Daphnia pulex: one gene and its partner. The protein of the gene in region 1 purifies or fractionates together with the protein of each later gene. This does not show direct contact. Links are inferred from orthologs where the notes say so. Each region holds a gene or a part of one and is shown on either strand. Other genes may lie near its edges.

Region 1 (4,102 bases):
CTAGTGGAGTTCTACTGTCGGCAATAAAACTCAAATTTTAAAAATTATTGGAGTTCTATTGTCGTGTAGTGGAGTTCTAATGTCCACTCCACTACGTGACAATAGAACTCCACCACTCCATTTTTTTTCTAAAAAAAAAGAATAATTTTCCTGCCAGTGGCTGTAAGGCAGCAGCAACGGTTATCTAAGTTTGAGTTAGGTTTCCAACTAACTTTGGCATGTTGAATCTAGAGAAAATATTACAATAAACATTCCAACATTAATGCACTAAACTAAAGTTAATTGCTACCTACTGCTTGAGTAAAACATTCAGAAAAATAAAGGCCCCATCCCATCTATCCATCCCATTTTACCATTTTAACCAATGGTCGATCTTCTTTCTTGATCGATCGATCCAAATTCTTTTAAGGTGCACATCTCAAATCTAATGTTTACAATAATGTCATTATTCCTGATCTCAAATTACTAATAACGAGTAACTACGATCGAGAACCGAAATGCCAATTTTTATGAAACCGATGTATTCGCACTTCGCAGAAACTATTCAGGTAATTCCTATTTTTGATTTGTTTTCAGTTTTAATTTTAGGTAACACAAACAAAGAAACAAATAGTTTTGAACAGTTAAGGAAGCGGTATCCTACAACAAAGATTGCAGGTTCTTCTCTATTTATTTTTAGTAATATTCAACTATTTTTGTTTTCGAGATGAAGTGTTTCTTTTTTTCTTCTTTAAATCATTATCATTATCCATTGTAAGAGGACGACGCATTGGTGCCTGAACACTTTGGCAAATATCACTAGTAGAAGGAATGTTTGTCTCCGAGTATTTTGGTGCCCATAAAAGAATATGCGCCCCATGTGCAGATGCTAATATGTTACCCAATTGATCAAACCGATTTAAGCACATGATCCCTTTCTGTCCAACTGGCTCAAGCTGGCAAATCAGCTCCCCGTCAGATGCGTCGAAAAAATCCACAGTGCGGGGTTCACTTCCTGGATTAAATGTATCCATTCCTTGTGAGCCCGTGAACTTGGGGTCTGGATATCGTCCAACTACAATAATGTCTTCTAATGGGTGCCAATCTGCCTGTCGATCCAATATAGCGAAAGAGCATAAAGGATAAATTATTTTAAATATTATAAATTTTAAAATCAAACTTTAATAGGCGAAATGTGTTGAAAATGTCGGTGAGGATGGAGAATTTTTGTTTCCAAATTCCAAAGTGGGCCAGAAAAAATTTTCAGTTCGCTGTGTTGATCTGTAATCAAGAGCCTTGTTCCGTGTGCTGGGCTAGTAGTTACGAAAAGATAAATAGAATTTCAATAAAATGCCATTTGCAAAAATCATTTCCATAAAAAAAAGTACCTAAAATACGCAGAATTTACGCCTCCCTTTTCATGCTTAAGTTCTACAAGCGCGCTTTCGGTATTCTTTATATTTCTCACATCCCACAAGCGAACGAAATTATCGCCGGACGATGTGACAAATAGCCAAGGCGTTCTTAATGGTAATAATAATAAAAAAGAAAGTAAATTCATTCAGTTTTGTTGACCAACAATTTAAACTTACCCAGAGTGGAATTCAATGTGGTGCACTTTTGATTTATGTAAACGTTGTTTCCATATAGGAGTCCCGTCTTTGGTAAGCAAATTTACATATCCTTTATTATCTCCAGCAAGCAGAAGTCCCCCAGTGAAGGATACATCAAAAGAGGTGTACCAATTACTACAAATATTAGGTATTATTAGGTACTAAGCCTAAACCCCCAGATTATGTTTCTTAAATAACAAAAAGTTTTACTTGAAGCAGTCTTCTCCGGTGTTTAAGTAAACAGTAACTTGGTTACTTCTTAAGTTCCTCCTACAGAATGTTCCATCAATTGAGCAGGTGTAGAGGTGATTATCTTCATTATAATCAAATTTCATTGCTTGTATTGATCCCCCTGCCCCTAACTTTTATATAAATATAAAATCTTATGTTATTTGATTAAGTTTTATGAAAAATACTCCTTGTATGAAGACATCATGAGATTCATGCTGATGATTCCACAGAATGATATCTCCTCCTTTGGAACCAACTGCAAGAGTGGTGAGTGACTTTGGGTGCCATACTAAGGAAGTAATTCTACGGTCAAAAGGAGATGCAGTCTTAAAAACTTTCAAATGTTGCACACTTTGCATAACATGAAACTTCAGGGTCTGAAAATGATGTAGCAGTTTGTTGAGAAATATATATATATGTTGAATTCTTGATAAATCAATTGTAGAGTAATACTACCTTTTCAAAGCATCTTGAAATTGGTTGGCCAGTTTGTCTTTTTGTAATGTATGACAAGAAATTTTTTCTGGAGAGAGGTTTTACATTAATTGCGGTTTCCAAATCACCAACTGAACAACTTGCAATATCTGATTTTGTTTGTTTTTTTATTTTAGCCGACTCCCTTATTTTAGCTTCAGGTTTCGGTAAAACAGATTTGCTACATCTTTTGGGCACTAAGGTCTTTTCAAAATCGTCATCCGATTGATCTGAACAGAAATCTCTATCAAATCATAAAACAAACGATATTGCCTAAAGTATCAAAAATAAATATTTTCTAATTAACCTTTTCCTTTTGGGAGCTGAAGAACTCTTTTTCTTATTTTGTGGTGCCATTTGCATATAGACCTTACAAATCAGTCATTTGCTAGGAAGTTTCAAGTTTGCATCCAATATATTTGAAAAGTATTTCAACAATTCAACGTTCTACACTTCTACCCGGTTCATACTGATCCATGTGGAAATAAAAGACGTCTGCTACCAAAAAAAACAAAAATGCCCACCCAAGCGGATTTAAATGTTACTATAATTGTTTGATTAGAAGTGGAATTTGTTAAGCTTTTGATAAATTAAATCTAATCAAACTATGTTTTTTAACACAAAATTTTTGGTTCAAGCCTATCAACTGATACATTCCATCCATTTATAACTTTAAGATTACTGGGAATGAAACCTAGCGGGAGTAATTAGTGTTGATGGTGTTTCGTCTGCTTGATTTTATTGAATCATTCATTTCGGTCGTGTTAAACAATTTATAAATAAAAAAGAAAATGCCGCAGCCATTAAAATTAGCTGTTATTTGTTCAAGTAACATGAATCGCAGCATGGAAGCACATAATTTTTTGAGGTATTTTGTATGTTAACTATTTCGGAAAGCTATGCATCGTTGTTGTTCTTTTCTAAACTGAAGTATTCTGTTATCTGTCACGCAATAACCTTAAACAAATGTTTATTATATTACTTCCTTAGCAAGAAAGGATATCGAGTGCAATCATTTGGAACTGGAGACAAAGTGAAATTACCAGGTGCAGCCCCTGACAGACCCAATGTATATGAATTTGGGACACCTTATGATGACATCTATCAAGATCTCTTGCAGAAGGATAGAGAATTGTACAGTTAACTTCAAATGCAAATAAACTTGAAGGAATCCACATTACAATTACACATTTTTATTGTAGGTATACTAGAAATGGACTTCTTCATATGTTAGACAGAAACAGGAGAATTAAACCCCACCCAGAGAGGTTTCAGTCGACTACAGAACAATTTAATCTTATTCTTACATGTGAAGAACGAGTTTATGATCAAGTGATTGAAAGTAATAATGAGAAATTTGTTGTTATTTCAGAATTCAGATATAATCAGTTCATCTATTTTATTTAAAAAAAGGCTTGGAAGGCAGAGACAGTCAGACTACTCCTGTTCATGTGGTAAACATTGAAATTCAAGACAACCATGAAGAGGCAACAATAGGTGCATTTCTCATGTGTGAATTGGTGTCCATGGTAATAATATTGAGCAACTTTTTTTTATTTTAATGGCTATTTTAAAGTGTTTTAAATTGGTTATTTAGATGGCCAACAGTGATGACCTTGATAATGATATTGATGAAATGTTGCAAGATTTTGAAGCAAAATGTCAACGACCAATACTACATTGTCTTCTGTTCTATTGATACACATCTCATATATTACCATATAAAGAAAAACGAAGTATGACCATCAAATTGTATTTCCAGTATTTGATACACAGGCTCACTGATCCAAATGAGCGTATACTCT
Region 2 (2,775 bases), on another chromosome or scaffold:
AAATGGGGGGGCTTTGTATTCCTTCCGCAAGTGTGTAAACTCTTTTTTCTTCTTCTTCCTACTTTTGTGGTTCTATTCTGTTCTTGTTTTAACCGCGAACCATATGCAAAGAAACAGACACGGGGGCCCCAATTCCCATGAGAGACTTTGAAATGTTAAAATATTCCGGCATGTTGTTCAGAAGAAAATTCTAACCAAGGACACCATTTATTCTTTCTCCACCCAAACCCCCAACTCGAGTAAAATGAAAAGCCATTAAAAAATGTTGATCTTACCGGTTAAAGATGACTATCCCAGATGGGAATCATGTTTATCTTAAAGACACGTGTAAAGTTGGAACAAAATAAAAACGAAGATAATCGCCACGAGTTGTGCACACACACACACACTAACGACACATGTTTCACAGCGTTTTCATCTGTTGGCAGAAGGGAGTAGACGAATAATAAACATTTGGCTCTACAACTTGTATTTTCAGCAGTGACTAAAGAGGTATATCCTCGCACGTGAAGTTCAAGAATGTGTCTGAGCTGGGACGGCCTTCCCGTCGTCCTTAACTATATCCCAACACATTTGTATATAACGGGGAGAGACTGGATTCCCCTCGGGCTAGACTTTTGAGAATTCCCATTGGTTGTAGCACATCCCCTCCCATAAAAGAACGGCGGGAACCTGTGATGAAACAGACTGCCGCCTACTAACGTCAGTCTGACGAACTAAAAGCAAGAGAAAATCAAAATAGGAAAACCCTTTCTCAACCGCCGCCACATTTCTGCGTTAAGATTTACCAATCATTAACTTTTTTACTTGTGAAACAATTACTTGACACTTCAAGGTTGTTTGAATAAATTATCTTCGAGAAAATAAAGCCAAAAATTGCTCGATAAGGACATTAATCTTCTTCCGGAGAAAAGTCGAATTCTTTCCTCATTTTTAGGAAATTTAAAGTAAAGAGTAAAGACGCTTGGATTTGTTTCTTGTTCATAAAATTTTGTAACCTTTTATAGTTGGCCACGGTCCCTACAAAGAACCGAAAAAAAAGAGGTATTTATATGTTTTTACTATGTAGCTTTAAAACCAGTTCCCTTTATAGGGCACACATTTTCAGAAGGTTTTCCATATTTATATTATATTGCATAAGTTTGACACGAGGAAATCTCATTCATCGCCCTCATAATTTTTTTTTATTTGTTAATTTCTCCATTTGACCATTTCTCGAAAATATACTGTCCCCTGGTGTCGATGATTGTTACTTCTTGCTTCGATCGTGGCAGACGACAAAGCATTATAAAAACCAAAAACAGTCTAATTAATTGCACACTGTTGGCTTGTAGGTACGGCCAAAATACTGAAGGTTGGCTGTAACTTGAACTTGATTTAAACAATCGTCGACAAATTTCATAAAATACGTCCTGGTTTCAAAAGGGGAAATGTCGTCTAAAGTTGTTTTATTTGAAAGTACCACCCAAGAACTGGAGAAGCAGGAACTCGAGGTACTGTTGTCGTTTTGTTGACGAAAACTTGGAACAATTAATTGCAATGATGTCTTTCCTTCAGGGTGCGAGCGGATTGGTTTTAGCAGATTTGCATAGTCAGTTACTCAGTATATATCTGTGTAATTTTGACTTGTAAGTATATTAGTTACATTGTAATGACTGGTGCTAATAATCAAGAGTTTTTCTTACGCTGATGTAGATGCAATGCTAAATTTCTTTGGAAACGAATCTCAAATGAAGAGAAAACTGCATTCCCCTTACTTGGCCAAATCTGGGAGGTAGGTCAAAAACTATGGTTAAAAGAGCACAATTCAGTGTTCAGCCTTCTCAGAAACACAAGTTGGCCTCCATCAATCGAACCTTACATGACCTGTCTGGAAGAAAATCTTCGGCAAAAATCAATTCAACTCATAGGTATATAGTTCAAGAACATCCTGAAAGAAATTTTCAATGAAAATGAAATGTGTTTATTATTTTTAGGGAAAGCTTATCTGTCCATAACTTCAACCACCTTCACTGAATTGGTTGGTTATGTTGATTATCCAGAGAATGCGGAAAAATTACTCGCGAAGCTACAGGAAGAGCAAGGTTGGACGTGTGATTCTGCTTCCAAATTAATCATACCTAAGCGACAAGCCGCCCAAAACGTTCCGTTGATGCGGAATGAAGAGCAATTGCAGAGTCTTACCCAATTCGTCTCGTTCTTGGAAAATTAAATCAACTGAATACGTTACTTATGTTTATACCCAAGAAAATAAACTTGATCGATGAAACGGAAATTATTTTACATATTATTTGCATACTATTCAATTGATAGCAACCAACACAGCTCAAAAAATTAAATTAGGAACTTTGACCCCAGGATCACTCGGACTCGGCAACGAATTTCAACTCTCAACATAATGAGAAAATACCACGTGATATTTTGTTTCCCGGTTGTATTTTCACTGCTGTTCTGTGTCATGGTACAACATCTGTACAAGGGGCAACGGTTGAATAGGAAGAGAAGCTCAAAAGTTCTATGCAAAGATAATCTTCAGAATCAGAGAGGGAATGACAGATCCCACAATTAATAAGCGATTCAATTCGCGAAGAAAAATTACTAGGGCGCTTGTCATCGTGTCAATAGATCACTTAGTCTGAGAATTAGGGAACACAGACCACACATACAAGGTATTAGTATTAGGATCCCTCATAGTCACTGCACCTAGACCGTCGGTTTCTTGAATAAGTTCGTCCTCATTGATCAGCTGGAGTTGCTGAACTTCCTGCATAACAA

What was found. The genes of interacting proteins can lie anywhere in the genome.
Region 2: the proteins of DNA damage-binding protein 2-like (region 1) and COP9 signalosome complex subunit 8-like purify together in Homo sapiens (affinity purification with mass spectrometry; 6 studies listed by BioGRID and IntAct, counting the BioPlex papers as one, with this or other methods). This does not show direct contact. The link is inferred for Daphnia pulex from reciprocal best matches to the Homo sapiens genes DDB2 and COPS8.

Annotation. Positions count from the first base shown.
Region 1 is NC_060018.1:5,111,777-5,115,878, forward strand, and holds DNA damage-binding protein 2-like, read right to left. Parts: upstream 2,791-4,102; 5' UTR 2,661-2,790; coding exon 2,605-2,660; intron 2,542-2,604; coding exon 2,280-2,541; intron 2,201-2,279; coding exon 2,009-2,200; intron 1,955-2,008; coding exon 1,803-1,954; intron 1,728-1,802; coding exon 1,572-1,727; intron 1,503-1,571; coding exon 1,368-1,502; intron 1,293-1,367; coding exon 1,160-1,292; intron 1,089-1,159; coding exon 690-1,088; 3' UTR 505-689; downstream 1-504. Other genes in the region: RNA polymerase II subunit A C-terminal domain phosphatase SSU72-like, read left to right, coding at 3,089-3,165, 3,288-3,431, 3,500-3,639, 3,711-3,826, 3,895-3,996; large subunit GTPase 1 homolog, read right to left, coding at 4,076-4,102.
Region 2 is NC_060017.1:2,513,575-2,516,349, reverse strand, and holds COP9 signalosome complex subunit 8-like, read left to right. Parts: upstream 1-1,284; 5' UTR 1,285-1,430; coding exon 1,431-1,493; intron 1,494-1,557; coding exon 1,558-1,628; intron 1,629-1,695; coding exon 1,696-1,910; intron 1,911-1,976; coding exon 1,977-2,212; 3' UTR 2,213-2,275; downstream 2,276-2,775. Other genes in the region: zinc finger protein 724-like, read right to left, coding at 2,627-2,764. UniProt on the Homo sapiens protein: Component of the COP9 signalosome complex (CSN), a complex involved in various cellular and developmental processes.